Arabidopsis thaliana: one gene and its partners. The protein of the gene in region 2 purifies or fractionates together with the protein of the main gene of each other region. This does not show direct contact. Each region holds a gene or a part of one and is shown on either strand. Other genes may lie near its edges.

Region 1 (7,431 bases), on a different chromosome or scaffold from region 2:
ACCATCAGAAAAAGATTATATGATCGTTAAAAGAATAGTTGAAAGTCTCCAAATCATGATGGAAAAGAGACAAGTGAAGATGGTATAATTTCTTAAAAAAGGAAACATCTTTGGCAAAGTCTATTTACTTCCTTTTGCGTTAAGACGTGCCGTAGTTCCTATGGTACGGGAGAGGACTACTCGCCATAGGAAATCTATGGTAAAATTGGTCATTTTTCATATTAAGCTCTTCAAATGGACAAAAGGCTAGAGGGTATATATAGCAAAATATAGCTGATTTAGTTTATTGAGTAATAAACTTCTCCAATAGTATAATCTTAAGCTGCATATTTGGATTACGCATAGAGCTTCTAAACTATCTAGTAAGTATATATGCCATTAATTAACAATGAGACTTTGCTTTTTCTTTTTCGTCAAACTCACTGGGACTTTCTTAATCACAAAGTTGTGGAGCAAAATACATCACAAGGAAAGAGCCAACTTGTATCGTCTTCTTTTTTTTGGGCGCGATATATATATATATATATATATATATATATATATATATATATATATATATATATATGCGACTGAGTCACGAGAAGTCGTATTTATAATTGGTCTATAAAGAAACGTCAAATATTATACCTAAAATATTAAAAATTAACATTATTCTTTGCATCATCCAGGGGCGGACCCACGGTATAGTTTGTGGGGACAGTTGTCACCAGTAATATATAAAGAATTAAAGGTTTTAGCTTATACATTATAGTTAAAGTAGCAAAATGGTAGAGACTGCCCCTACTAAATGCTGAAGATAGCAGGTTCGATTCTCATCTAGTTACATTTTGCACCTACTAAATTTCTTGGCTGGGTCCGCCACTGGCATCATCTAGTTATTCTTATAACATTTAAAAATAATGGTTCTTTGCCGTTTTCTTTAGTCGTTGGAATAATAAATTTCTGGAGACTAACAATGACTGTTATCTGCGCTCACGCGGTTCTACTAAAACCGACCTTCTTTGGTTCTTCCCTTACATGACTATATATCTTCGTTTGCAAATATCAATCCATATATCATACACATCTACATACCATTTTCATCTACATTTTCAAAGAAAAATCATAATCTGTTCGAATATGAGCCAATACAGTCAAAACCAATATGCAGGTTTGTTTGTTTTTTGAGTCCCTACAAATTAAGCATCATGATCATGTATCATCGTTCATCAATCTCGTCATACATCATATTTCTAGAGTTTTATGGTAACAAAACTAATGTCAAATATGTATAATTAGGAGCTTATCCTACGCCGCCAGTGTCTACCGGTCCATACGTGGCACCGCCACCGCTCGGTTACCCAACGAACGACACGACTCATGCTACGGTGGCTCCTGTCGAGACAAAGTCTAAAGGTGAAGCTGCTGATGGATTCTTGAAAGGCTGGTTAGTCTCTCTTTTTTCTTTTCTTTTTTTCCAATCCTTTGGAAAATTTTAGGACAATTTGTTATTGTGGCTCAACGTAACCGGGACCGCACGTTTGATAAGTTATTGTTTTTTTTTTTGTTAAATGCAGTCTTGCGACCATGTTGGCCTGTTGCGTCCTCGACGCATGCATTTTCTGAGTTCGGAGGAAGCAGTCGATTGTTTATTAAATTTGACACTTCATGCAAATATTTTTCATTGTATTTTGCAAGTAGTTTTTGGGATTCGATTAGCTTATAACATTTGGACCTCCTATTTGTTGATTTAATTATTTATTACTACTTTTTTTATTTTATTACAACTTAGTTTGTAATAGTAAAATTTATTCTACTTTGTGCCCAAAACTGTCAATTGTTGTTCATTTAAATTTCTGGAATTAGATTTAGATACGCTAAATTAAATCACATTTTGCGTTTATATTCCCACCTAATTTGAAACCAGCAATTATTCTTCTTCATAAGAAAACTTTCATGTGCTCTCTCGAAAATAAAGTTTTACTCTAATAACAACACGCACTTTGGACGAGATAAAGCGATTCAAGTAAAATTATTATGGTTCAAACTATTATCTAAGATCCGTTTGTGTAAAACATAACTTCTAATAACATATATATTCTGATCTACTTTTGTTAGTTTTTATTAGTTAATATAAGCGTTAATTATTGTTCTCTCTTTTGCTTAACATGTAAATATTCCCATGGAGAAAGAAGTACACTTTTTGCTTTGAGAAAGAATAAAAAAACTCTTTATTATTACTAAATCAAGAAAAATATAAAACCATGCTGCATTTATCATCATTTTACATATTCTATATATAAGGTTCTCTAATTCGTATACTTTTGTAAATAGAGAACAACGAATTAAAAGACCAAATCGATAGCATCTTACCTTTTTGTTGATATTTATTAAGAGAAAAAATCAACACATTGTTATTCTTCAAGAGAATAAATTTCTGGAGACTTAGCAGTTAATGCAATCTGACCTCACGCGTTTTTTTTTTTTGACCTCACGCGGTTTTACTAAACCGACCTTCGTTTACTTCCCTTACCTCTCTATATATATATCTCTATCTTCATTTGCATATTTCAATTCATTTCATAATCATACACCTCTCTACATTTGTTACTACTTTCTTCTAACTTGTTTTCAAAGAGAAATCACAATCTATCTGTTCCAAGATGAGTCAATACAGCCAAAACCAATCTTCAGGTTTGTATTCTTTTCTTCGTACTAATTTAGCATCAGACCATATGTTTAGTCAATATTCTCATGGTTATAATCATATTTGCAGTTTCATAGTAGTAAGTACTTTTTTAAATGGTAATAAGACTAATGTGAAATATGAATAACTTATAGGAGCTTATCCTACGCCGCCAGTGTCTACCGGCCCTTACGTGGCACCGCCACCGCTAGGTTACCCAACGAACGACACAAGTCATGCCACGGTGGCAACGGTGGAGACAAAGTCCAAGGGTGATGGATTCTTAAAAGGCTGGTTAGTCTTCTTTTTCTAGTATAAACCAGGCATGCACGTTTGGTTAACTATCAAACCGGTTCGGTTATCGTGTGTTGCATTGATTAATTTGTTTTCTTTCATTTTTTGAATGCAGTCTTGCGGCCATGTGTTGTTGTTGTGTCCTCGACGCATGCTTCTGAAGACTTAGATGGTTTATTTTGATTATCTTTGTATTTTGCTTTACCAAAATGATTCGACTAGGTTTATGACATTTGGTACTTCTATTTGTTAATTCATTTCTATATCACTCTTTCTTTTGCATTGTGTAATTTTATAAATTCTTAATATATCGTTTGTTTTCTCTTAGACATCTTCTAAACCACGCTAGATTCACATTTTTGACTTTATTACCGGTTAGTCAACGTGGACTTAAAATCAATTTAATAACACTATATAAGCCAAAGTTATAAACAATTAAAACTCTTGGGGTTAGAATGCAAATAATGAACAAATCGATGCGTATAAATATCTCCCGATAAAGCCCTAGAATCCAAGGAAGCGCCGAGAGAAAGACAGAGAAGAGAGTGACAATGGTGAAATGTATGAAGCCAGGAAAAGCCGTGATCCTTTTACAAGGACGATACACCGGTAAAAAGGCGGTGATCGTGAAATCCTTCGATGACGGTACCGTTGAGAAGAAGTACGGTCACTGTCTCGTCGCCGGATTGAAGAAGTACCCAAGCAAAGTCATTCGCAAGGATTCGGCAAAGAAGACGGCTAAGAAATCGCGCGTGAAATGCTTCTTCAAGGTCATCAATTACCAGCACGTGATGCCTACGCGCTACACTCTTGATTTGGATCTGAAGAACGTTGTCTCCGCCGACGCGATCTCGTCCAAGGATAAGAAAGTGACGGCTCTTAAGGAAGCGAAGGCGAAGTTTGAAGAGAGGTTTAAGACTGGCAAGAACAGATGGTTCTTCACCAAGCTTAGGTTTTGAATTCTACAGTTTTTAATTTTAGTTTTAAAGTTTCAATTTTTATCTACCATGAATTGTTTTTGCTTCTGGTTTAGCTCAAGGTTATGTTTTGTTCTAAATTTCAGTAATATATATTCAATTTTGATGGTTAAAGTTTTAATCTTTCTAGTAACTCTTCATTGTGAGACATTTCTTTCAATCTTGTGGTTAATGAAACACAAATTTATTAAGAAATGAAGAATCAATGTCAGATGATACAACAAGGATTAAAAAAATTCAAGGTGTTTTGGATCTTTTTGCGCATAACCATTGCCTTGATGTTTGGAGATCATCTTCTACGCTCATTGGTACATGCCAGGTTCCATCTTCAGACTCCTGCATCATTCATCAATCAATCATCATCATTAATGCAAAATGCATACGAAAACATTGAGATGGACATAGAAATGTGAGTGTTGACCTGTATAACAATGGAGTATGGAGGTGGCATATTAAGTTTGAGTCCATCTTCTCTAGTGACAGAGATCCGAACCTGCAAACATTGAATCCAGTATCAATCAAAAGCTTATGTATATACATTACATAGACTCTTATATTATATGTTACCTGATGCTTCTCTTTCCACCTTGGGAAGAAACTATTTCCAAGTAACTGGAAGAGATGGTCTCTCATCTCATCGTTTGTTACTAACAAACATTTGCAACTTACCGCAGCGTAAAGCCAATACCTAGAACAATTTGATTTCACATAAGAAATGGTTGTCTTTTTTGGATTATTCATGGTCAATGTAATTCATAGACCCAGAAAAAAAGGCAAATGCAAATACCAATCATCGTTTGAGCCAGGAGGGGTAGCATAGAGAGCACCAGCGTTTTTCCATTTCTCTAGCAAGGCTCTGTTTTTAGGGTATGTAGCTGGACCTCCATTTACACGACTCTTGTGCAGGATCACAAGTGGTAACCTTTTCGACGGGCTTATTTGTTGGCATCTTTGGACAGTGTTGTTAAGCTAGTGGGGAGAGATAAAGAGTCGCATTAGATAAAGTAGTCAAACAATGGTTCTTGAGATTGGCATTAGAATGAGAAAGAGTCAAAACCACCTGGAAGAAGCTGAAACTGCGCTGGTTGACTAAGCCCATGTTGGCTCCATCAATGACTGCATCAAACGGTCCATGTCTTTCCAGCCATTCCTGCAAGCAAAAAACAACAACACATTTCTCAGGTTTTCTTTTAGATAGTTTTAATACAATCTTTTAGACAATAATTGTTACCTGAAACTGATTAAAATTAGCCTTGACTTCTCTTTCACATGCCAATCGGGTCAACGATGCAGCAAAGGTTTCTGTCTCAACCGGATTGATATCAATACAAACAAGCTTCTCTTTGCAACATTTACATACACCATTCTCATCCATCTCTGTTCTTTTCACATTCCATTTGCCAGTCCCCAGCCATCCTTGTCCATGCCACCCACCACCACCACTCACAACCGCATCCCTTATTTTCTTCACATCCCATTTCTTCACTCCAGTTTTTGTAGCTACTTCAGATTTAAACCACTCCTCAATCATATCAAAAGTCGATTTAGAAACCTGTCTCACCAAATCTCTCAATCGCTGCAACGTCTTATAGACCTTGTCTGCGTTCTTTGTATCCATACTAACTTTCAAAAGAGCAGCAAGCTCAGGTTCTTCAGGGACTACCTCTGATTCAACCATATGCGCATCGACTTCATAAGCTTTGTCTGCATCACCTTTCCTACAGAAACCAAAAAGGGCAGGTCCATAGGATCTCAACCTTGGTTGAATACCAAAGGCTTTCATCTGTTTCACCATATCGAAAGCCATTTCCGGGTCATCCTTTGCAACTGCGAGTCTAGCACCGTTTGTAAATGTAGCTTCATTGGGAACAACTTTATCAACAATCATCTGCTTAAAAATATCAAAACCCCTACTAAGCCCTGGATTTGGAGACGACTCTGTTGCTGCCTCAGCCAACGAGCATACATAAAGCAACACATTATAATGGTACTGGCTAAGCTGCACGCCATTGCGTCTTGCCTCATCATACAAGCGAAGAGCTTCCAAGACATCACCTTTCTTAGAGCACATATCTAGCTTTTGTTTCAGCAATGCTTCAGGAGACTGTTGAATAGCTTTCTTCTTCGCTTTCCTCGATAAGTTTTCAGAAGGAGAAGCTGCTGATTGTTTAGCAGCAGCGAGAGGCAATGTACATAGATGTCTGCTACGCTCAACAAGAATAAGACGTCTATCTCTGGTGCCTTTCACAAGTAAGGAAGTATGGTAGAAACGAAATGGAGAAAATCTAGGATGGTGGAGATGAACAGATGGGACTTTGAGCATCATTGCAAATAAAGGACAACACGCTCGAGAAAAAGAAGGTGTAAAACAAGTTAAACGCAGCATAACTTTGCTCTCAAGCTTGTTGAAGAATTAATTCTCAGTCGAATTCATCTGCAAGAGACAGGAAGAAAATATTCAAGAATTAAAAAAATGAGCTGTTTACACTTAGTCTAAGCATCTAAAAGCTCTATAGTCTATACATTATCGAGAAATAAAGAGCAATAACAACAGAGAAGACAAAATTGAAAACCTTTGATATACGGGCAATTTACAATATATCCGAAACAAAGTCCAAGAACAAAACTTTAGATATTGGTTATGTAAGAATGTGAGTTAGTAGTCGATAAAAAGGAGTAGAAATGTGAAGAAACATGGAAATTGTTCATTGGGTAATATCGTCGAACAGGTTGAAGGCAACACATAAGAATTTTGAGAAAAAGAACTTACATCGAACCAGAGAGAAACTTTCTTTCTGGTGGGAAAATTGGAAAAGATAAAAAGACGACTTTGGTCGACACAGCTTGTCCTTCAGGATTCACCATGGATTATCTCCAAGGTTAATAGATTGAGATATAAGAGTGTCATGGGATAGAGATTTTGGATGCTACTTTCTAACGACGTCGTTTTAGGTACTCTGTTTATTTCTATCCTGTGAAGCCCAAAAACGGCCTAATATTTACACATTAGGGCTTTAGAAGAAAACGCTAGGGTTTTAAAAATTGGGTTTTTTCTTTCTCCTTTTCGGCTTGTCAATTTTGATTTTGGGTTACAAACTTACTGATCTAGATAAAACCCAGACCGGTCATGGTTCCGTCTTGTGTTTACAACATTGTTTAGCGCATAAAACATTAAAAGAAGAATGATAACAAACACACAAGAAATCACTTCCATTTTAACGAATGAAACATATTTAAGAGTATTACAAGTAAGCGAATGCACAAGAGAGTATATGACAATGGAACGTATAGCTACCTAGTATCTATACAAGCATGAAACAGAGTGTGAATGTCTTCTTATCTACAGAAAACCTTTGTGATGAATATGCAGCATGATAGATCCTTCAACTAATGGTGATGATGATCAAAGAATGTGAATGTCTAACAACTGCAAAAAGGTAGCGGTCACCATTCTACAAGAGCTTGTAGTAGCAGTCACGGCCTGAGAAGAGAGTT
Region 2 (9,008 bases):
TCTCAAAAGTACCCGAATCGAGCTTGGTTCGCTCCTTGCAGTTTCGAATACCTTTCAACGATTCTTGAGCGTAATGCATCAAAGACGTTATGATACTCTCTGACCGCAAGCCTGTTCTAGCCATCGCAGAGACAACTCGTGCGTAATAGTCAATCCTCAGAGCAGAGAGGTCTTCAATCCACCACTCAGGACTATCTCCTCGCTTGAGTTCCCCTGACTCGGTGCCTCGGTTCAGCCGTGACAGCCCTAACACTAACTGTTCTCTGCAAGCATTCACAGCGATAGCCTCCACACATCTATCAGGAATGTGAGCAGTTTCAGCAATGTCTTGAGGATAAAGCGTCTCACAGGAACAGAGGACTTCCACAGACTTCTCAAGACTGCGAAACGCGACTTGCTCGAGGTAAGTCTCGGTCCGCGCAATCAAATTCTCTTCTTTGAAGTCCTCTGTCATCTCAAGATAACCAGCTGCGCAACGGATAGCAACCACGTTGGAGATAGTGATCTCGAAGTTGATGCCGTAGCAGAACTTCATGGCGAGTTCAAACGTCTTAGACCCACCTGGAAAGTCTCGGAGCTCTGTATGCGAGAGATTTGAAGATGATTCTTTCATCTCTGCCACCATTTTCCTAATCTTTCCACACCGAGCCACTAAAGGAAACTGCAAAATAATTCAAACATCGTAAATTGAAATTCCGTCGAACACTTTGTGTGGGCAAAAAAAAAAAACAGATCACTAACCTTGTGGAGTAAAAAGGACTCTCCATCAACAACAATTGTGATGTCTCCCGCAACATCTGAGAATATGCTGCAATTTATATATGGTAAAAACGAATCCTTTATGCATCGGATAAGTAAGAAATCTATACGTGATTGCATAAAAGGAACAAACTTTGACATGTTTGAACGAAAGAGAGACAGAGAACAGACCGAGTGGCAAAGGAGCTGGAGAAGATGGAAGGAGCAGGGGCAGAGGAAGACGAGTGAGATTGAGCATTGTCCGATATAATACCCATTGTGACCTTGAGTATGAATTTGAGGAGGAGCCTTTCAGAAACATATAGGCTTTGAACACTTTCCTTTTCTTGCTCGGATTTTTTAAAAACTCTCTAATAGACTTTATAATGCACTTTCAATTTCGTAATCTTGACTCCAAAAAAAAAAAGAAGAGATGCTTTTTTTGGTGATGTATGATTCAGAGCACGTGAGAAAAGCCGAGAGGGGGTTGTGTGTGGCACGGAGCTCCATAAAGACTCAATTATAGTCTCTTGGGGGCACACTTTCACTTTACTAATTGAGGTCTCTATTACAACCTCCACTCTCAGTTTCTATCTAATCTCTCTTTTATACTAACCAACCACCTATGAACCCTACTTTGTCACCACTACTTTTGCTCTATTTTGTTTCACCAAACAATTGACATGGTGATTTGAGATGTGAAATCCTTGTCGGATCAAAATCCTTCCAATAGCAGCAGACAAATGGCAAAATGACAGATCCTTTTAAATATCTCTAGATCCTTAATCACTAATACATCACTATTTTAATTTATTTCAAAGCTTTCAGAAACACCTTTTGTTAACTCAAATATCTGTTTGGTGTCTTCTTATTGGAAGTTTTCTTGATTTCTATCAATGTTCATAATTCCAAACTGATGTGCAACTCTATGACTCTGTTCCACAAAAATAATTCAGAGATGGGTGATGCTAAAGGGCGATTTGCATAGTAGATTTTTCACTCTCATTTTCCATGTTTTATGCATGTTAACCGAGCTCTATGCATTCGCTCTCTCATTACTACTGATATAGACATAGGTGCAATATGAGGGATATGAAGAGTGAAATATTGACATGCAATATATAAGTGATATTCTCAACAATGAGTTTGCAACATTTCTTTCATCATTGTTGCTACAGTTTAAGTTCACTACTTCGTACAAAACTTCTAAGTTACACAGGTTTGGATGCGTGCATTTTTTTAACTTATAGCCTGAACTAGATTGTAGATACTACCTAAGATAACGAAATCAATATTGCAAGTTGATTAAGACTATAAATAACATGGTAATCAGATAAAAAAGAAGAATTTATTTCATAAATCCAAAATTCTTTAAAATCGAAGAGTCTAACAAACTCTCTCAAACATGAATTATTCCATAAGTAAAAAAAGTTGGCGTCAGAACGATATAAAATTTGGTTTAGGGCACATGCCTCCCTAAGTCTTAAGCAAAAAAAATTTCATCAACATCTCAGTTTATTGCGGGCCTTAAAACCGCAATTAAAATCGAAAAAAGGAGGAAGAAGCAATGCTTAGGCACCTCCTGATCCGTACTTCTTACCGAAGACAATCAGCTGCAATTTGTCGTAACCGGAAAGCACACCAGCACCTGCAACAGCACGCAGAATGTTGGCACCAGCTCCCTTGAAGAGTGACTTGGCTCCTTCATTCTTGAGGATCTGCTTGAAGGCGTCCAAAGAACTCTTGTACTTGACAGCTTCACCAGACGTCATCATCATTCTTCTGCGGACAGTGTCAATGGGGTAGGATGCAAGACCCGCACCATTGGTAATAACCCATCCAAGAGCGAAACTAGCGAAGAAACTGTCCTGAAATAACCAAAAGAGAACGACCACAACATGTCAATATCAACCAATGATAGGCAAGAGAGCACACAGATCAGAGAGAAAGACAACAAGACATACCTGTAAGTCACCAGTGAGGAGAACAGGCTTCACAGAGTCATAGAGTCCAAAGTACAGACCACGGTAGACAATGATACCAACACATGAGATGTTGAATCCACGGTACAGACCAGCAATACCATCAGTCTTAAGTGTCTTTCTGTAGACATCAACAAGACCATCAAACTGTCTTCCACCACCTCCTTTCTTTGCAGCCTTGGCATCATTAGCTAGACGGGTACGGGCATAGTCAAGGGAGTACACAAACAGAAGGGAAGAGGCACCAGCTGCTCCTCCAGATGCCAAGTTACCAGCAAACCACTTCCAGTAACCATCTCTGTCCTTCTTAAAGTTGAAAAGTCTTTTGAAGTAATCTTTGAAGGCAAAGTTCAAGGCCTACAATAGACAAAAAAGAAGGTTAGCAGAAAATTATGTTTTTTCAAAAGCTATAACAAGAAAGAGTATGAAACTCAACAAACCTGAGTGGGGAAATAACGGATAACATTGGCAGTGTTTCCTCTCCATAGAGAACCAAAACCTTCATCCTTAATCGTCCTGCCGAAACAGTCACCAATACCCTTGTAGGGTTCAGAAAGCCTGCCAGCTTTAATCATCTCATCCTGGTTCTGGATCAAAAGCTTAACACGTTCAATAGGAGCAGCAGCAGTCTTGGAGACGGCAGCAGAAACACCACCCATCAGAAAGTCAAGGGCAAAGTTAGTGAACCCCTTCTCTCCTGGGGTTTGGACAAACACGGGAGAAGCAGTTGTTGCCAACATCCGGGATGTCGGAGGAAATTGAAATGCAGCATTGGAGTAGTTTCCGTAGGTTGCATGTCTTTGATACATAGAAGGCCTCTGGTAACCCACTTGAACGTCCTTGGAAACACTTGAACGCATGAACTGCCCGGCAGCTTTCTGCGCAATAGTGGGGTGCTGAACTTGATCAACCATTTTGAACTCTGCAAAATCACATAATCATTGATGAGAAACCAGACGTGAATAACATACTACAAACCAGCCAAGGAAATTCAGAGAATTCTTATCCAACACAAGACATGGTCGTATCACAGAACGCTATCCAACCAAACAAACCAAGTTTATTGGAAAACAGTGAACCATGAACCAAGATCTACCATGTCATATTATAACGCAAAGATCATATAAATTTAAGAACAGCAACTTAAATCAGGATTACAACAATAACAACTTCCAATAATGAAGCCTCGACATCAGATCGGATACATTTTAAACTAAAGTCAACAGATCCAAACGATTTTGATCACTAGAAGATTATCAGATCAACGAAACGCACAAAAAGAAGCAGATCTATGAAACCGATACATCAGATATTCGACAATGAGCACAAAACATTCCGATCGGACTTTAAGCAAAGCAGATAACATAATCTATCAATATAACAATCAGATCTACAGATCGAAACGTCTCATTTACCTTACAGATCTAAAAAACACAGATCGAAGAAACGAATATAACAATGATTTGAAGAACGACGAGATTATAAAGAATCACAGATCTGAGAGAAACGAGTCATACCTAAGAATCGATGGATGAGCAAAATAACTGGAGAGAGACTCCGCCTTTATCTCACAGGAAATGAGAGGGCGAAGCAGAGAAGAGAGACGAAGTTTTCTCTGTGGTGAAGAGGCGAGCTTTGAAAAGAGCGATTGTTTGCCCTTTTATCGTCTCGAAAAATAGGGTCACAGAGTCTCGGTCGTCACTCGCCAGTGGGGACGAGTTATTATCTGCTGCAAAAAAACTATTTGGGCCTTGCAATTTAATATCCGTTGGATCTTACTGATTTAACCCTAAGAACTTGTTAACCGTTGGTTATGTTTACTTTGTGAAAGAATTGTTATTCTTTCTGATGGTACGACTTTACTTGCTAACCGTTAGATCTTGCCCTAGGAATCTGGACCGTTATTTGGTAACGTTGAGGGCAAATAGTGAATGGACGGCTGGAAGGGTAGCGTGGAAAATTATTTTGTCGACCATACCGAACCAGATCAATTTGCAAATATCTTATGCCAAAATTATTATTATGAAAGGAAATAAATTGAAGTGTTCAATTTTATTTTAAATGCCAGATTTTTACAACTTTGTTTATTTTCTTCTATATGAATATGATATTTGTGAATATACAAAAAAAAAAAAAGTAATAATAAACTGATCTAGTATTTTTCACAAATAGTGATATTTTTCTAAATCAACTTGGTTACAAAGATAATTTTTCTATATGCTACGTTTCTTTTCAACTTTCTCTATTGTTCTCCCATGTGTTACGAATGTTCAGCAACTGCCCTTAAAGTCTCATACCTTTAACTTTACATGAAAGGTTTCTTTTATTTAATTCGTTTAGTTATTTGGAGAACATTTTTTAATGAAGTTATGTTTTGGCGAAATAGATAAATCAAATTTAGTCTGTGAATTGAACAACATCGTGAGAGGGCCGGCGAGTATACAGTATGGCTCCCAAAAAATCACGAGCCTTATTAGAGAGCGGTGAAAATAGTAACTTAAAAGAGAATCAGAGTCTATAGAGGCTCAGGTGGGACTTTTAAAAAGAACTACAACAACAAGAATCATCACTTCTCGACGACTTCGATCAGACTTGTCTCATAGTCACTCGGGGCCACAAATCCATGGAGGTTCATCACTGTCGCAGCTACATTTGCAAGCCCAGGTGTCTCGATATCCTGTCTAAACCTAACTCCTGCTGACAAGCCAGGACCTCCTATGGCAATTGGCACCTGCACACACACATCATGTCCAAATTTCATATAAGATACACCAACCACTTCTGGTATTACAACCCCTCATGCTTAATCTATGCTCAGTTGCAATGGTCATAACACGAACTGTTTTAGTAGTGCTAGAACTTACTGGTTTAAGGGTGTGAGAGGTAAGAATCTGAAGGTTCCCTTCCTTATCGAGAGCAGGCTTGCCGGATTTGTCCCTTTTAACCATGTCCTCAGCATTTCCGTGATCTGCAGTCACAACGTATATCCCTCCGACCTGTTCTATGGCATCAAGGATTGTCTGCAAACCAGGACACCAAAACTAAGTGAGTCATTGCTACTAAGAACGGTTTCTAACATTCCCATGTCACAAATTTATTGAAATCATACCCTCACAGCACGATCAGCAGCTTCACAGGCAACAACAGTTGCTTCAATATCACCAGTATGCCCCACCATATCTCCATTTGGCAGGTTTACACGCACCTGAAAATCCATTGGCACCAAACTCAGAAGCCAATTGTTTTAATGGGTTGATACAATGTGATAAGAGAATACACCTTACCTGGTCAAACTTGCCACTAAGGATAGCATCCCTTGCTTTCTCGGCAATTTCCAGTGCTTTCATCTTTGGCTGGACATTGAATGATATTCCACTATCACTTGGAATCTCAACGTACTCTTCTAACTTTTCATTGAAATATCCAGAGCGGTTGCCATTCCAGAAGAAGGTTACATGGCCAAACTTCACAGTCTCACTGTTTCAGTGAAATAAAATTTTAATAGGTTAATAGCTGAGAATTCATTCATTATATGTAACTAACCATCAACGGTATAATCTCATCAAGAAAAAGTGAGCTAGGAGATTTCACTAGTTTTAATCAACAAACAACCCCCAATCATAAATTAGACCTCTACCGAGCAAGTAAAGAAGACTGGATTACTCTTATCACAGTTTCAATTATGAATCCAATTCCAGCAAATAAATAAACCAGGAAGCAGCAATAGAAGAAAATGGCAAAGACAATAACTAAAGATTTGAGAGATTCTAAAAGTTAACCTGCAAGCAAAAGTACGAACGCCATTGTGTGCCAGATATTCACCAGAAGTTCTGTCAATCAATGGTGGAGAAACAAGATAGCGGCTAGGAAGCTTAAGCTCTCCATCATATTGGAGCATTCCTGCATAACGTATATCAGGGACACGTACGCGATCAAACTTGTCGAAATCTTTGTATTCGAGGGCCTTTGCATGCATGACCATTCGATCAGCACGGAAATTGAATGTAACAACTGCGTCACCATCAACAATTGGACCCACAGCCTTTCCATTATCATCAACAATAACAAACGAAGGCAAATACTGGTCATTGGCACCAGGTTCTGCCCTCAGTGTCTTAACTGCTTCAAGAGCGCTTTTAAATTTGTGGGGAGCTTCCCCAAGGACTTGTGCATCCCAACCTCGTTTAACAACACTCCAATCATTCTGCAAGGAAGGAAAGCAAAAATTGGATTCATTTCTAAACTAGACTAGACAAGGCATGACATTCATACAAGATCTCACAAGCATTGCCTACCTCATAACGGTCCATTGTGACATACATTCGACCTCCACCAGATGCAACCTGAGCATCAACACCTTTCGCACGTAAAGCAGCTAGGTCAGCTTCAAGAGTTTCAACAAATCCGACACTAGAACCATCCAAAACATCACGACCATCAGTAAGAATATGGACGCGGATTCTCTTAGCACCACGTTCTGCAAAACCCTTAAGCAGCAACTGCACCAAACAGAACCAAATTAAAGAAAATTAACAAACGCCAACGTTTCAAAAGAAATGTGTAACAGATGAGAATTAAGTACCTGGACTTGATCCAAACGAGAGTGAACTCCACCATCGCTTAGAAGACCAATAAGGTGCACAGTGCCTTTCTCAAAAGATTGAGAGATGTATTTGAAACCTTCATCTTCATAGATTTTCCCTGAAGCAAGGGCGAGATCAACAAGCTTAGCACCTTGAGCGTAAATTCGACCAGCTCCAAGAGCATTGTGGCCAACTTCACTGTTTCCCATGTCGTCTTCGCTGGGGAGACCAACGGCGGTACCATGAGCTTTGATCAACCTCCATGTGTCGGGCTTCCCCTGTGAAGAATAAAATCGAACCGTTGAAGTCCATAATCGGAATCCAGCGAAATCATCGAGGAAAGAAGTGGATATAAACAAAAAAGGAAACATACGTCTTTAAGGGAATCCATGGCAGGAGTTGGAGCTTTATGGATGCAATTGTATTGATCGGGATCAGATTCACCCCATCCATCGAGAACAATCAAACCGATAGTTTTGCCTTTGGGAAGCTTGGGGTGGTCCGCAAGTTTCCAGTTAACGTCGCCGGAGCTACCCATAACTGTGGATTCAGATCCACTCGTCGGTGAGAAATTAAAGGTTTAAGGAACAGATCTGAGAAGCGAGAGAGAGAGAGATAACGGAAGCTTACCAGCGGAGAAACAGAGGAAAGCTTCTCAAAGAGTCTTATGGAGATTCGCAGAGACAGAAGTGGTTATGTGGTGAAGTATGGTAGGTTGAGAGCTATCACTGACATAATATGAGACTTTTATAGAAACATAGAAATGGAAAAGTTAGCGATGACGTGGTACCAATTTAATGGGCTTTACTTTGGGCTCAAGTAAACATTGTGAAGCCCCCAAAAAAATGGAAGGAGACGAATGTTCTAGTTTTAGCTGCTATGAACGAATGTTCTGGATCATGCCGTTTGTAATAGTCATGGTGTGCGCCATGTAAAAAAAATTGTATATACCTTTTTATTTTGGTCAACGTAAAAAATAGCATACAGAAAAGGTCAAACCGGAGTTAACTTAATAGTTTATACGGTATTTGAACCAGAATTTGATCAAAAATGGGTAAGTTTTAGTAACTGGGATTACATTAATTTCTGTTGACAGTAACTTTTTTTTATCTAAATCATTATTTAAACCTTGAGATTGCATTAAATCAAACTGAAATTACACGAAAACCAAACCGAAAACTCATGTAAGAAATTCAGGGTTGTGCACATTTATTTATTCAATATCATCATAATATTAACTGGGAACCTTCAAAAGGTTGGTAGAAGGCTAAAAAACAATTTCTAATGGGCCAAAGACAAAAAGTTGAGTTCCTATATATTGGGCTTAAAAAGCCTGAAACTAGATGAGACGTGGTTCATAGTCAGATAAATGGGCCAAGGATAAGGAAAGACAAAAACAAAAGTAGAAAAGAATCATACAGTATACATATATGGGAAATATACAGAGAGAGATACAGATAACACAATAAGAGGTAGACGGACAACTGTTACGGCGAAATTGAATGCCGCAATGTATCAATATGATTGGTCGAAAAGGAAAGTAAAAAAAACAAACAAAATATTAAATTTTTGTTAATGTGTAAAGGGAGAAAAAATCAGATGAACAGGCTGTATCATTTTTTTTTTTGTGAACAAATGGGACTGACGACAACACTCTTCTTCTCCTTTTTGTCCTTTTGGCTCTCTCCTTCTCTCCTTTCTCTCT
Region 3 (8,246 bases), on a different chromosome or scaffold from region 2:
GTTGCTTCTCTTTATTCCTCCTAGCCGGCTTTTCAAGTTAGTTAATATATATCTTTTCTTTAGTCTATTTTTAGAAAGGTCTGCCTTTCTCAATCACTGGTTTCATCTAAATGCAGAGTCTTGGAAGGAGTGCATGCTTCATTTGTGGAGTTGGTACCATACAGAGTGATTGTAACATTCACACTTTTCCAGTTGGTTTATTTTCTCTTGTGCTATGGTATGACATGGATTCCTATGGCCGGGATATTTTTCCCCGCACTCTTCTTTCTACTTATAAGTATAAGAGAACACTTGCTTCCCAAGTTATTCGATATGCAACACCTTCAAGTGTTAGATGCTTCTGACTATGAAGAAATAGTAGCAGCACCTATCCAACACTCAAGTTTCGCATATAGGGTAAACCTTTGGTCTCTTAATGAGTTTAAACTGATTCAGGGGCTTTTTGTGTACACGTGTGTGATACCTTTAAACCATTTTGTGAGCAGAAACTAGGGTCTTCTCATCATTTATCAGAAGGTGAAGATGAATTCTACGACGCGGAGATATTGGATGAGATGACTACAAGCAGAGGTGAAATAAGGATCCGAACCATAAGTTTTAAAGAGGTAATAAAAACAAATTATATCTATTCTACACAATCCAAGCATTGATATGAAAAAATGCATATAAACAAGAATCTTGTTTCAGGTGCACCCGGAGCCTGAAGAGAAGCATGTAACCTTTGAACCACATTAAAAAGAATCTTTTGCAATTGTTTTTGTACACAACTGTATTTGTGCATAGGCATACATTGACTATGTTATAACTTTCCTTATAGTGGAACTTTGTTTCAGCAATTAAATATGAGATTATTCAGCATTCAAATTATCCAGTACTTGCTGCATTATGGCCATTTATTCGGGTGACGGTGAAAGCATTATTTATAAGCTTATATATATGTCTTCCGCTTCATGAGGATAGCTAATAGCTATTCTCTAAATCCGGATCGATCACCTCTGCCATGAATACCTTGTCACCTCGTATTGCTTGCTTTGCAAGAAAAATGCGCCAAATTTCAAGACCAGTTAATAGCTAGCAAGAATAACAATGGTACACCAGTCAAAGTTATTTTAGAGGAGATAAAAGATTTTCACAACGCTTTTTGCTTTACACGTCATCTCTCGGTTATTCTTCTGACACATAGCGTGGCTCCAAAGTAATCATATTTTCAACGTATTGCAGAGAGAGAGGTCGAAGAAGATAATGATCATTGTATAGTGTAAAGGTTCAAAGTTGATTAGCATATAGCTCTGTTCTTGAGTGATGGATAAGAATGGAGAATTAGGTCTTGTTTCTTAATACTTCTCGTCATATACGAGTTATTGTATACAAATGCATACATTGACTATGTTATAACTGTCTTATAGTGAAACAATGTTTTCAGCATTAGTAACCCTTATATAGTTTCTCCTCAAATCTGAGCTATAGCATTCAGATTATCTAGCACTTCTTGCATGGTTGGTCGCATCTTCGGGTCTACCTCTAGGCATTGTTTAATAAGCTCGCACATAAGTCTTCCCGCTTCAAGTGGATAGCTATTCTTCAAATCTGGATCGATCATCTCCACAATGTTGTACTTTTTATTTTTTATTTCTCGCTTTGCTGAGATTGTGAGGTCTTTTCCTAAACCAGTTAACATTTTAAGTAGTATAACACCAAAGCTATACACATCGCCCGCCATGTTCGACATCCCTTCATTTGATTAGTGCAATCAATTAAGGTTAGTCTCTTTGAATTTAATGGTCACTTTTAACTTTAAGATATAAGGAAGAAGCAGAAGATTGTTGCCTGAGAGTATGTATTCGGGAGGTGGGTATTGATATCTAGGTGCTACATTTGAAAACCCGATGGTGTATACCAATTCATCGAGAGAAACTTTTGGCTTTCCAAAATAGGAAACTCTTGCGTTGAAGTCCTGCATATCCCATAAATGTCACTTTAAAGGTAAGGAGCAAGTATTCAAGAAAAAAAACAAAAAAGGCAAGGTGAATACAAACCGAGTCGAGCAGGATTTTCGAAGCAGTGAGATATCTGCGGTATAGACCGGCTTGCTTCCTAGAGTGCAAGAAGGCAAGACACTGAGCCGCTCCTATGGATATCTTAAGTCGTGTCTCCCACGGCAATGACTTTGGACGACTATCTATGATATTATATAAACCATTAAATCCAAAAGGAAGATGAATTACTATTGGATCTAAGGTTAAGATCGTAAACTCGTGAGAGCTCCAGAAATCAATTTGAGCAACTCTCTTTATTCCCTCTCTATGATATTAAATTATCTAGGAATCATTTAGCTTGGTGTTCTTCAATTAGTATATTTTCCTCACTTCCACTAAATAAAGCTCTAATGAGCTATCTCAATTTTTAGATCTAGTTTTAAAGCTCTTATTAAGAGCTCTTACCTTTGGGTCTTGCTCGAGCAAGATTCTTCTTGCTTTGAGTCTACTCACAAGATATAATGACGAAAAGGAGATGAATAAACTTAACTTCCTTACCTCTACTGATGTAACTTCCTAAGCTTCCATTTGGAAAGTATTCAGAAACAATAAACAACATATCACGATCATAACAGTAGCCAATTAGCTTCACCAAGCTTGGATGAGAGTTATGTCGTAGAAACTCTACGTCAACCTACAAAAATATCATCTCTAATGTTAAGACACACTGACCCATCTCTAGGGGTAGGCAACATAGACATTTACCATCCAAAAACATCAAAAAATTTAGAAGAATAAATAAGTAACAAGAAACTTAACAATATTATTGGTTTTGCCGAAGGTTCTCCTATAGATTGAGATGATATAATTACTTACAAGCCAATCTTGAAAAGCTTGTTCATTGGCTAAGTAAATTTTCTTGACCGCGACGGCCATGCCAACACCTTTCTTGGCCGGAGATAACGTTTTGGGATTGATGTATCCCAAGCTCTCTCCTAGTTCCATCTGGTTTCCGAAATCATTAGTCGCTTTCTTCAGATCTGCCACCGTGAAGACTTTCACACCCTCCTCCACTATACATATATTATAACAAAACTTATATCCATTATAGTAACATTCAAATCAAAAGTACTTAAATCCGCAGAGAAATATATATATGTATACCTGATTTGGGAGCATTTGGTTCGGTGGGAAGTGTCGAAGCTGAGAGACAATTTCCCATTCGGATACTCTCTGCTAAATCTTAACACTAGAGTTCAATGAAGAAGAGAGGACTTTTAGTTTTTCACACCGAGGAGCAAAGTCAACGAAAACGCGTTTGAGAGTCAACGGTTGACGCGTTTTATTTGGTGAGTCATACGACGCCGTTTTTTGATAAGAGTACATACTACGCCGTTTGGCTAGAGTTTCATACGACGGCGTTTAAACAGATGTCTCTGGATGCTTCTTCCTTCTTCGTTCCCGGGTTAAATTACAAATAGCGGCGAAGGGGTTTCATCACAATTCACATCTTCAACGTTACTCCGAAGAAGATAATGGCGTCGTTTCTCCAGAGACTAGTAGATCCCAGGAAGAATTTCTTAGCTCGTATGCATATGAAGTCTGTTTCTAATCGCCTCCGCAGATACGGTACTCTTTCTTTCTCTCTTACCCTAGAAACCAAACCCTAATTCTCTTCTGGCTGATTTTGGGAATTTTACGATTTTTTAGGTCTTAGATACGACGATCTTTATGATCCTTTGTATGATTTGGATATTAAAGAAGCTCTTAATCGTTTACCGAGAGAGATTGTTGATGCTCGGAACCAGCGTCTTATGCGTGCAATGGATCTTTCTATGAAACATGAATACCTCCCAGATAATCTTCAGGTATGTTTTAGTCTCTAAGTAAGTGACAACAGAGCTAAAACGGTATATAGCTATGGAGTTTGTAGATAGAGCTTGCAAGATTTGACTTAAGACTTGTATTAGGATCAAGAACACTCTGTTTTCAGAAACCTGTTTTGGTTCTGTAATATAATTGTAACTTGATAAGCTTTGTAAGATCTTGTCTATGAAAGAAGTTTTTTTTGAGATAGTGCTTGTTAGTTGTGAGATAGGAAGCTTATGTAAATCTTTTTTTCTTTTCCTTGTCTCTGTAATTCCACAGGCAGTGCAGACTCCATTCAGGAGCTACCTCCAAGACATGTTGGCTCTTGTAAGAACAAAAACAGTTTTATCTATCTTGTAGTGATAGAAGAATCATATAGCAAAGTTCTAACACACGACACTTCATGTGCAGGTGAAGCGGGAGAGAGCTGAGAGAGAGGCTTTGGGAGCTTTACCTCTCTACCAAAGAACCATTCCTTAAGCATGTTAGTCTCTCTTGTGCTTATAGTAGGGTCACTGTTTTAGTACTCTTTAGGCTTCAATACCGCACAATTTGCTTTTGTATGGTTATGCATGGATATGTGAACCTTATGTATAAGATTTTATGAGATTGAATTGGATGTGTAATGTAAGCTTGATTGAGCTATTACAGAAATATGAGTAAAATATCCCACACCGGTAGGAGGAGAGTAAATCATGCTACATAAAGACATAAAGGCACACAAACCCTTAAGCTAGCTTTTGGAAATGTTTTCACAGTTCCTCATAGGAGCTCTGAAGAGAGGCGTGTAACCTCTGAACCACAATCCTTTATAACCCTTAGTTTGTCCTCTCAAATATGGGCTATAGCATTCAAATTATCTAGCACTTGTTGCATGGATGGTCTTTCCTTGGGATCTCTTTCAAGGCAGTTTTATGAGCTTGCACATACGCATCCCCTCTTCAACACGATAGCTATTCTCTAAATCTGGATCGATCATTTCCACAATGTTTTCTTTTCTATTCTCTGTTGCTTCCTCTGCTAAGATGATGCACGGGTTTCCCAAACCAGTTAAGATCTCAAATAGTATAACACCGAAGCTGTATACATCGCCCGCCATGTGTGATCTCCCTGTATATGCGTATTACCGTGCAATCAGTTTTAGGTTAGTGTATGAATTTTAATGGTCATTCTGTAGCTTGAGAGAGGACTTACCTGAGAATATGTATTCAGGAGGTTCGTAGTAAATTCTAAGAAATGCGCTCAATACAATTTTCTAGCTTGCTTACTCCTATAAATGTAACGCTCTAAGCTTCCGTTTGGAAAGTATTCAGAAACAATGAACAACAATTATCATCCGAACCGTAACCAATGAGCTTGACCAAGCTTGGATGCAGGTTATGTCGTAGAAACTCTAGGTCAACCTACAAACCTCGGCTGCCGTGTTAAGCATACATATATGAGTGATCAGTCTCTCTCGTAGAGGTTAATTTCTTACAAATCACTTTTGCAAGGCTTCTTCATAGGTTAAGTAAAATCTCTTAACGGCGATGGCCATGCCAACACCTTCCTTAGATGGAGATAACGTCTTGGGATTGATGTGTCTCCTCACACAGATTCATATATACCTGGAATTGTTGCAAGTTGTTCGGTTAGAAAACAGTTTCCCATGCCTATAAGATCCGCTTTCTTGACAGTTAAACAGAGTTTGAGGAAGAAGATGATTCACCTTACTTATCTAGATCTACTCCACCGGGCTTCAAGGTTCTGGAGTAAGCCATTGAGTATATGGACGTCTCAAGTCAATGTGTTAAAATGTCAACGCGTTGGAAAATGTCAACAAGGGAACCACCAACTTTTGTAGTTTATAGTTATAGTTTTAAACCTATGACGTGGAGCACAATATTCAAGTTTGTAGTTTAAATTGATCTTGCAAGATTGAACATAAGACTTGTATAAGGATCAAGAATCGTCTGTGTTTAAAGAGCCCTTTTGTGAACAACCTTACATAATTAGCTTTTTCCCATAGCCAATTTTGAATTTTTTTTTTTGTCGTAGCCAATTTTGATTTAATATACACAAATATTCATATTCATATTCATATCTTTTTTTTTCGTAGGGTTCATATTCATATCTTGTGCTAATAATGATCAAAGAATAATAGTTTATATAATTTTATGAATTTGTAGTCTTGTAGCATGAACTTTTCTCTGTCTTGTAGTGTTAGGGGGCTTATTGCAAAGTTCTTACACGATACTTCATATGCAGGTGAAGCGGGAGAGGCTTCGGGAGCATTACCTTTCTACCAAAGAAACATTCCTTAAGCATGTTAGTCTCTTGTACTATATAACTAAAGCCCACTTAACCAAACATTCCTTATGGCTCTTTAGGCTCCAATCTACCACACAATTTTACCTTTTATGGTTATGTACGGTTCACTTAAACACTGAACTTATACATAAGATTGATGTGTAATGTAAACTTGATCATTAAGTTAGATGTTAATGTTTACACAATTCCTCAAAGATGCCACTTTTAAACATTTTTTACATGAATCATATATATACAACGATGCTTTGCACGGTCTAGTGAATAAGTGTCGAGGTAGATAAGAATGAGATAAGGTATTTAAAGTATTTAATAGAGTGGTGTCAGTAGAGAGAACGATATGGATTTGTATTTGAAGACATTTCCATGTGAGTCACATTAGCACAGGAGGGTCCTTTGCCTAAATTCATTAATGAATTACTTAACAGAAATAAAATGACAATGTTCAATTAAATGTGAGTAGACTTACTCCTATTCTTTTCTCTCACTTGCCAAATGCCAAATTGCCAATAATTATTTATTACTGATGATTATTAAAAAAAATATTTTTCTTTTTGCGGAGATTTATTAAATATTGCATGATTTTAAAAAATAGTTATAGCCTAGCTTCCAAAAAGCCAAATTTATGTAGCTAAATGTTAAAACAATAGTATATGGCCACACTTCCACCAATCAGTCTTACTATCATTTGTCTCTTATGCGGTTTTGAAAGGATTTTGGTGCTTCTAATTTCGAATTTAGAGGGACAAACTAAAATTACGCAATATTTGAAAAGTAAGAATTATTGCTATTAAAAAATCTTGATACGATTCAAAAAAAATTATATAAAAAATACGGTTTTTAATTATTTAAATTTTCAGCATCTTTACACAAAAAAGAAAAGAATTCATTCTCATGTTCAAAACTATCTATTTTGTTAACTTTGTTTTTGAATTATGCAATTTTAAATATATTTCCTAATAATACTAGGGATGTTTGATCTTAAAATAAAAACAATTTGGTCTTAGTCATCAAATTTTAATTTTTTTTGGGTTTTTTTTTGCCGTCTATATTTATTATTTATTGCAAATTATGAGAACTGTTTCATATACAATTCTACCCAGAACAATTTTTACGACTCTTATTAGATCTACGAGAGATGATATCTCCTTCTTCTTCTCCATGCTTTTGATAGACATATTCAATGATCCTCTTTACGTAGAATCTTGACGAACGGCTATAATTGTACATCGTTGGAGATCTCATGTACATTTACCTCCATTAATCTGCAAATTTGTTAATAAATCTTAGTATCTGGGACTCGAACCTCAAATTTTTTGGTATAAAAACATTAATAAACCTTTCGTCAATCAAAGGGATTTCCAAAATCACGCAATATCCCTACCTAAACTGGAAACTCCGACCCAAAATCAAACAAAAATTTGAATTCAACATCCCTACCTAATACTACGTATATTATATGAATACAACGTACCTCAAATAGTATTTTGTCTTTACCAATATAAATTATATAATTATAACGGACCTACTAATATATATACAAAAAAAGGTTATCGATATCTCTTCTCTGTACAAGAGATCGAGTCATGAGGAAATGGGCCCGTAAAAGAGTAAAAGAAATGTACAATGAAGAGGAGACAAAGCCATGATCCTGCCTTTTGCTTTGATCTCTTCTTTTTTGTATGGGTTCCACTACGTTCGTTACCCATGCCCCACCCACGTTTTCGACGGTTCCTCGTCTTTTTTTGGTTCTTCTCTCACTCTTATTATACACTTGTTTATCTTTTTTAGATTCAACATTTTAAATAGTGATTGTTGTTTGTTCGAACTTGGGTCTTATAAGTCCTAATCAACATTTAATTGGATCCATTAGAAACAGTTCTTTCATTGGAGCTACGTGTTACGTTTTTCTGATATATGATAAATATTACAAATAAGACTAGCCATTTTAGATTTTCAACCGTAAGTATGTGTAGAAATACACGGTTTTAAATTTATAATCAACAAGGTAGTAGAAAAGATAGATAGTCCACACTAGATATGAGTAAAATATATACATCAAGTCATATTATATAAGGTGGGAACTATTTGTGG
Region 4 (7,358 bases), on a different chromosome or scaffold from region 2:
AAGGATAAGAACTATATAGCTGAGATTGTAATGCAGCAAGATGAGCTAAAGATTGTCTCTGCTGAAGAGATATCAACTGTTGTGAAGTAAAACCATTCCGAGGAGGCAGTTGTTGGAGATGTTGCTGTTGCATTAGACTGTGTAACAACGCGGAATGATCACCGTGGAGAAGGCCGGGGTCGGTAACCCAATGAGGAGGTTGTTGCACCATGTTACCAAGAGTAGGACCACATGAGGCATATCTAGCCAAATTATTACCATAATGCGACGGTCCATGTGACAATCCCGAGAGATGGAAAGTAGAATTCGACAACGGAGAGGCGTTTGGAGCTGAAAAGTTCGACTGACTACCACCAGGAAGAGAAGGAGCACGATGAATATGGCTCGGGGAAGACTGTTGAGATCTTTTTCCAGGCGAAGGAAAAGATGTAAACGTCGATTCTGGTACGATAATCGGTTCGCTACTGTAATGTTGTAGCTGTGTTTGCTGCTGAGGATATGAGGATGTCCTATACAGAGAATTTGAATTAGGAGATGATTGTGGCTGTGAAGACCAACTAGCTTCCTGAACTTGTTCTTCAACTGTGTGCTGATCCAACCAGCTTGTGAACTCATTATCCTGAGTCCAATCTGTAGCAGTAGAACCTGGACATAAAAACTACTGTTAGAAAAAAAGCTGATAATGGATTTTTTTTTTGTTGACTTGTAATTATATTTCCAACTACCACAACTTAATACTCCAATCATTCACCTCCAGAAGTGGATATCTAAAAGTACAAGCTCACAGTTTTTACCTTTAGTTGCATAGTTCAAGAAGAAGAAAAAGTAACATAGAAGAACAAGAATAGTAAACAGTAAACAAAACTCACTTTCTCTTGAAAAGGACCCTGATCCTCTGTCACCAATTACTCCAAGGTGTTTGGGCCCGGTAACATTTCTGTTCAGCTGCACAAGATAAGACCAAATAATAAGATAAGTTAAAGTAGAGAACAAGTAATAATAAGAAGCTGAGAAAGACAGATCATTTGTCTCAAGAGAGACGATGAAAAATGGTAACAAAATGATATTAGTAGAAACAGAATTATTTAAAGTCATAATTCGGAATTTACAATATGCTAACCTTTGCAAAAGTTGTGGCAAGATCATCCATGTCAGATAATGATCCTAAACCAGCACCCTGAAACCAGAAGTAAATGTTTTGTTTTATCTTCCATTTATCTCATATATAATTAGCATCAAATATTGCCAAGAACAGACTCAGTCCAAATTACCTCTCTTTTATCAAACAAGTGATACTCTTCATCATCAACATGTCCACGAACAGTACCATCATCATCAAGACCACCCAATTCGACTTCTTCAAGACTTTGACCAAAGAACTCATATTGAGATGCGTCAAAGAGTGCACTATTGTTATCTGCACAAAGACAATAAGATCCAGTTTCATCAAACACATGAGGTAAGTGACAATCAGTTGACCAGAAAATTTAAGTAAAACTAAAGCTTTTGTAAACAAATCTGTGACATTTCAATCATTTCATACAACTTCAAAAATCAAATTAGTAAATCTTATAGGTTACTACAAAACTTAAAAAAAAAACGAATCAAATACTGTAACAAGGAAGATAAATCAAACATAACAAGCATGAAACAAAAAGTATGTTTCTCTTAAAGTTTTCACAAATCAGAAGCAAATCAAATCATTCACATCTCAGATCAAAGAAAGAAGCTTTAGCAAACTGATGAATCACAAAATAAAAACACTTTTATTAGATTTGAAAACAAAAAGAGCTGAACAAGAAAGAGAACTGACCAGAAGAAGTCTTAGCGAAGTTGTAGAAATCTCTAGAATCAGATCTCTCCATGATCAAACACAAAGTAGCAGAGACACGAAGACAGCTAAAACACAAAAAAAAAAAACAGCGAATACGATCGAATCTCCAAAAGGGTATTGCTACTTCTTGTCAGAACTAAAGAAAAGGTAAGTAAAGATTAGCTGAAATCGCTAGAGGTTCCCGATTTTCCGGGATTCATATTGAGAAAGAAGAAAGTCGAAGGAGGAAACTTCTCTTCCTAAAGAAGAGATTTTTGATTAGATTAGATTAGAGAAGAGAGAGAGAGAGAGAGAGAAAGAAAGAGAGAGCCTTTTTTTATTATCTCTGCCCTGTGCTATGCGTAACATTGACACATCTCGAACAAATCCTCATTTCTCTGTCTGAAATAAGCATTTCACCTTTTTTTTTTTTTTGGTTCGTTAAGTTAAAATAAAAGAGAATAAATTAAAAATGTTTTCTTTTGTCGTCAAGGAAAAATTCTCTTCTGTTGACAAAAAATCAAAAGTAAAAATATTCCACTTTCCGAACTTTTTTTTCTTTTAATTAAAATTATACAGTATGTTACTAAAATTAGTGATAGTGATTACAAAAGATAAGAATAACCTTTTTTTAGTGCTGTCTGCTTTTTTATTTTATTATTCTCTCTATTTTAATATTATTTATTACATATTGCTGTGTCTACTAATATTAGTGATCATAAACATTTTCTTATCATAGAAATATAATTTCCTGCGGCATTTGAAAAACATCGACCGATTTCGTGTAATCCACACTACATTCACGATTAAAAAAAATTATTTTTTTAACATATGAGACCACTATAAACAATTATACATGTAAACCATACATAATTTCATAATTTGCATTTCTAGGCTTCAGATTTTATATGAAAACATTAAATAAATTATTGGATAACTACGAGAATTCGTCTTATTTCTGTAATTATTTTGGATAACTACGAAAAACAATTTAATTGATATAGCCATATAGGTTATACCACATCCACTAACTACTAGTATATGATTCTAATTAGTAAGACGATCCTTCTAAATATATGATTCCACCTATTTTCTCCTTTTAAGTTTATGCTTTTACTTGTTTGAAACTCCTCAACCAAACCAAATAAGTTAGTTATGAAAACTTAATTGCATAGAGATTAACAAAATTAAATACACATCGACGAAATAAAATAAAATAACTGGAGGGACAAGTTATATGGTCCATGTGAACGGATTTCATCCGGTCGGTTCAATTTGATCTCATTTGCTAATTTATTATACACAAATTCAAATGGTCTATTTTTTATAAAATATGACACCTATATACTTACTTGCGTAGACACGATATAACCGGCCAAGCAAAGTTTTCTAAAATATATAATAATCTGCAAATATGATGTTAACAGTCCATAATTATAGACTATAGTCTCGCAGTGGCTAGAAAAGTCAAGCATGCAATTTTTAATTATAAATATTTGACACATTTTAGTAGAATTATAAACAAATATATTGATTGCTGCGAGAAGAAGTTTCCAACTTTGTTCGTATGATGAAAGGTAAATTTTGTGATCGAAAACGAAAGTAGACATGTTTGAAAGTCTTAAAATATTGGTAGAAAGGTTTTCGAAATTTTCGTGACAATTAAATTGATAATTTTGAGTATGGAACTTGATCGAAAAATTAGAAGATTTTGAGAAAAAGACAGCATGTTTTTATGCGATACAATGTATAGTTTCACAAACAATTCCAATAATAATATGATAAATGTATAATTTTGTAGATAGTATAAGTGTAATTTTGTAAAAGTTAGTCACTATACATAGTGGTAGTGCTATGAGCAAGCCAAAAAACATATATGAGTAACTAAAATTAGCAGTCAAATATAGAGTTGGATAGCTTCAACACCAATCATAAAAGTTTTATCAAAACCGTTACTAAAAGTTTTACTTTTTTTTTTTTTTACAGCTCTCTCGTATAATTCTTTTGTAAATTTTGCACTATTTCAAAAATACTTACAACTCCAGCTAACAACTTAATTCTTTTTACAGTTTTGTATTATCAATGGGATCCATAACAGTTGTATAATTTTATATATGTCTTTGTTAGTTCAAAAAAAAAAGTTTTTGTAATAATAACTCTTTTGAAGTTTGTACGAACGTAAGAAAAAAAAAAAAGGAAAACTAGAATTAGTATGACCCAATAACTGAAGCTAGGTTTACCAGGCCGTGTGATAAGAATATAAAGCCCAAATTAAAAATGGGTCTAACCTAAAGGCCCAATAACTGAAACTAGGTTCTCTCCGCATCCATTTTCTGCATTACTATTAAAGCCGCATTTCTCATAGAATCCGCCACTTAGGGTTCATAGCAGCCAGAGAGAGAGACAAGTGAGAGGGATCTACCAAACGAAGCAACAATGGTGAAGTTCTTGAAGCAGAACAAGGCCGTGATCCTTCTTCAAGGACGTTACGCCGGAAAGAAAGCCGTCATCATCAAATCCTTCGACGACGGTAACCGTGATCGTCCTTACGGACACTGCCTCGTCGCCGGACTCAAGAAGTACCCGAGCAAAGTCATCCGCAAAGACTCAGCTAAGAAGACAGCTAAGAAATCTAGGGTTAAGTGTTTCATCAAGCTTGTTAATTACCAGCATCTGATGCCTACTCGTTACACACTCGACGTGGATCTCAAGGAAGTGGCGACTCTTGATGCTCTTCAGAGTAAGGATAAGAAGGTTGCTGCTCTTAAGGAAGCTAAGGCTAAGCTTGAGGAGAGGTTCAAAACCGGTAAGAACAGATGGTTCTTTACCAAGCTCAGGTTCTGAAGAAATTTTCTATTTCGTGAGGAATTCATTTTGAGCGTTTTGTTATCGTGTTTTTTAGTTTCTAGGGTTCATTTCCCATGGTGAAAAATGTGGATCCTGTTTTGGATTGTGGAAGATGTTTTGTTGAAGTTTGGATTATGGATTTGATCTTTTATTTTGATTCTCTAATGCATTCTTATTTACTCTTTTGTTTCCGTTGAATTATATTTGCTTAGGCTTGAGGAAATGATGAATTTAGTAACGTCTTTAGGCTGATATTGGTTAAAATCTGGAGGTCCATTGCAAAGAATTCTTGTTCATAGCCTTAGTTAGAAAATTATAGATGTTCAAGTTTCGTAATCTTCGAAATTGAATTTGGTGTTACTAATTGTCTTAATCACGGTTTTGAATTAGCAAAATATCAATAGCTAATTGTTTTTTGAGCAAGGTTCTGATACAATGGCTATATCTCCTTTGTTTATAAGCTTCTCTGGCATTAAGTTTTGATAGAATCGGGAAATGTATTTACCAAAAGTTGAATCTTGTATCGTTTTTGTTAGATTCTGAATATCCCATTGCAAGTAGCTTATTCCTAAACTCGTCGTAAAATACAGCAAATTTTCGAGTTTCATTTGTCTAGGAAATTGATAATTTGTAATCATCAAACTTACAGATACAGCCAATGATGTTAATTATTTATTTCAGAGTATTGAGAAAAACTCACATATGATTTCTCTGTTAACTGTATAACAAAACGCAGGCTACTAAAAAACAATCACTATTGCGGTATCGTTAATCTGATCTAAAGACAGATTTGTAGGCTTATGTGATTGTTTGTTTTCTCACTTGGGAACCAATAAATCGACAGCTAAGTAATAGCTTCCTACGATCACAGTCGATGCAACAGAGCTTCGAGCCATCCTCATCCCAATACCTCGGAACAAGAGATTTCTGTCTGTAGGATGGATTCCTGTCCATCTCTCTAATCTCTTCCCTGGTTTATTCCATTTTAGAAACTTCCTCTCCTTTGCTGTATACTGTAAGTAAAACAATAGAAACCCAACAGAGAAAATGAGTTTCATATCTCTTTGTAAGATAAAGTGGAAAGCCATGAGTAGAGTTTCTTTAAACCTTTGGCAATATTACACACTGTGCACGTGTTCTTGCTGTGTCAAAGCTATGTGATGCTGCAGCTGCAACGGCACCAGATATCCCAGCAGCAAGGCTAATGGCTACCGGAGATAAAGGTCCAACTTCTTCTTCAGAACTGAATTCATCAAGTTTCCGCATAATCATTTTAACAATCAACAATCCAAGTTCAAGTGAATTGAGAATTCAGTGTCGATTGAGAGTTTTAAGTACCTGGGCAGAGGATTCATCCCAACAGCTTTCCAACCGACCATTGCCTCGTGAAGAAACTGCCATGTTGAAAAGAATACTCCACCGTAAATACAATCTCTTATAAGACCTGAACGTAGATTCCTCCATAAAGCTCTATATCCTTCAAGTGATGCAACATCGAGCGGTCTCTTAACATCCATGGCTGATGGTGGGTTTCCTGTTCCAGTCATCATCCAAGGGTACTCTTGCAAAGCAGCTGTCATGTTTGGGTGTTTGTGATTTAAGACGGATAAGAGACTGACTGTTTGTGTCAATGACTTTACATCAAGAGTGTATCTTCTTAGCAGTTTTGTGATCATGGGTGAGACCGGTGCGGTCTCTGCAACAGCGGAAGCATTTGGAGCCCGTGATGCAGCAGTCACTTGTTTTCGGACTTTGATTAGCTCAAATGGAGAAGTCATCACTGTTTCTGCTGCACCTCCCACCAGACCAGCCAGAAAAGCTTCACCAACACTCACGTAGTTATCATGTCGACCATCTGGAGCGAAATGAATTCATATTCAGATTCTTCAAGACAAAGGTATTGCCCAAAAAGGAACCAAATTTGCGTATAAATGACATGAATGTATGTGAACACTGTTGCATATTCTAACATAATCCATGAACAAATGATTGCTGTATTGACTAATTAACTGATGTTATTGAGCTAATTGACAGAGGAGCTAGACACAAAGAAACCTAATCTTGAATCATCGAAATCAGACACAACAAAGGAGACATGGACCTGTGTAATACCTTTGTAGAAAGCTGTTAGAATCTCATAGACACCAAACCTTGCACCAAAACCAGAAATTCTTCCTAAAGTTAACGATCCAAGACCACTGTACAGACCTGCATTTGAAGAACATGTCATTATGCCTGATGCAGAATCAGAAAATGATTGGAATCTAAAAGAGTAGTTTGCGAACCTGAATAGCCAGAGAATCGAAGAACTCTATTAAAAACTTGAAAGGAGCTTAATTTCTTATTGGGTCCTGAACCAACCTGTAGTTCAATGCTATTCTTAATCCCCAGATGAATCTAAGTGATAAAAAGAACAATTTGGTGAAGAAGAGGGAAAAAACCTGGATAATGGTTTTGATGGTATCTAAAGGATAAGCGAGAGCAGTTCCTAACGAGACAGAGGCCGAGGCAGCGATGGCATGTGTCGCAAACTGATGATTCTCAAGAAGCTTATCCATCTTTAGCCTCAGCGAAAACAAATGTACATATACCTATACGTTTTTGTCAGCAACACTACAGACTACAGTATCAGTATTCAAACATACTATGTCCTTTACTCTTATCATAGTCTCCAAAATTAAGAGGTTTAGAAGTAGAT

The links.
Region 1: the proteins of AAC1 (region 2) and AT2G32220 fractionate together in Arabidopsis thaliana (co-fractionation; one large-scale study listed by BioGRID). This does not show direct contact.
Region 3: the proteins of AAC1 (region 2) and AT5G25450 fractionate together in Arabidopsis thaliana (co-fractionation; one large-scale study listed by BioGRID). This does not show direct contact.
Region 4: the proteins of AAC1 (region 2) and AT4G15000 fractionate together in Arabidopsis thaliana (co-fractionation; one large-scale study listed by BioGRID). This does not show direct contact.

The regions. Positions count from the first base shown.
Region 1 is NC_003071.7:13,675,435-13,682,865, forward strand, and holds AT2G32220 (Ribosomal L27e protein family), read left to right. Parts: upstream 1-3,475; 5' UTR 3,476-3,510; coding exon 3,511-3,918; 3' UTR 3,919-4,089; downstream 4,090-7,431. Other genes in the region: AT2G32200 (cysteine-rich/transmembrane domain A-like protein), read left to right, coding at 1,018-1,150, 1,279-1,426, 1,557-1,605; AT2G32210 (cysteine-rich/transmembrane domain A-like protein), read left to right, coding at 2,643-2,673, 2,821-2,959, 3,075-3,120; PRORP1 (proteinaceous RNase P 1), read right to left, coding at 4,174-4,272, 4,358-4,429, 4,504-4,624, 4,724-4,905, 4,997-5,086, 5,168-6,322; AT2G32235 (uncharacterized protein), read right to left, coding at 7,389-7,431.
Region 2 is NC_003074.8:2,603,397-2,612,404, forward strand, and holds AAC1 (ADP/ATP carrier 1), read right to left. Parts: upstream 4,500-9,008; 5' UTR 4,238-4,499; intron 4,178-4,237; exon of another isoform or gene 4,136-4,177; intron 3,643-4,135; 5' UTR 3,635-3,642; coding exon 3,161-3,634; intron 3,078-3,160; coding exon 2,703-3,077; intron 2,607-2,702; coding exon 2,310-2,606; 3' UTR 2,039-2,309; downstream 1-2,038. Other genes in the region: AT3G08570 (Phototropic-responsive NPH3 family protein), read right to left, coding at 1-661, 742-808, 931-1,016; iPGAM2 (Phosphoglycerate mutase, 2,3-bisphosphoglycerate-independent), read right to left, coding at 5,287-5,451, 5,585-5,740, 5,830-5,925, 6,005-6,197, 6,500-6,924, 7,016-7,219, 7,303-7,581, 7,677-7,841. UniProt on the Arabidopsis thaliana protein: ADP:ATP antiporter that mediates import of ADP into the mitochondrial matrix for ATP synthesis, and export of ATP out to fuel the cell.
Region 3 is NC_003076.8:8,853,525-8,861,770, forward strand, and holds AT5G25450 (Cytochrome bd ubiquinol oxidase, 14kDa subunit), read left to right. Parts: upstream 1-3,392; 5' UTR 3,393-3,511; coding exon 3,512-3,605; intron 3,606-3,686; coding exon 3,687-3,844; coding exon of another isoform or gene 3,845-3,862; exon of another isoform or gene 3,863-4,124; coding exon 4,125-4,172; intron 4,173-4,256; coding exon 4,257-4,325; 3' UTR 4,326-4,952; downstream 4,953-8,246. Other genes in the region: AT5G25430 (HCO3- transporter family), read left to right, coding at 1-36, 117-396, 486-605, 688-735; AT5G25440 (Protein kinase superfamily protein), read right to left, coding at 1,451-1,731, 1,828-1,954, 2,037-2,179, 2,535-2,670, 2,796-3,049, 3,141-3,198. UniProt on the Arabidopsis thaliana protein: Component of the ubiquinol-cytochrome c oxidoreductase, a multisubunit transmembrane complex that is part of the mitochondrial electron transport chain which drives oxidative phosphorylation.
Region 4 is NC_003075.7:8,567,647-8,575,004, forward strand, and holds AT4G15000 (Ribosomal L27e protein family), read left to right. Parts: upstream 1-4,169; 5' UTR 4,170-4,249; coding exon 4,250-4,657; 3' UTR 4,658-4,715; coding exon of another isoform or gene 4,716-4,741; 3' UTR 4,742-5,035; downstream 5,036-7,358. Other genes in the region: AT4G14990 (Topoisomerase II-associated protein PAT1), read right to left, coding at 1-645, 870-945, 1,121-1,177, 1,272-1,417, 1,814-1,865; AT4G15010 (Mitochondrial substrate carrier family protein), read right to left, coding at 5,479-5,673, 5,768-5,903, 5,999-6,515, 6,773-6,868, 6,946-7,021, 7,102-7,218.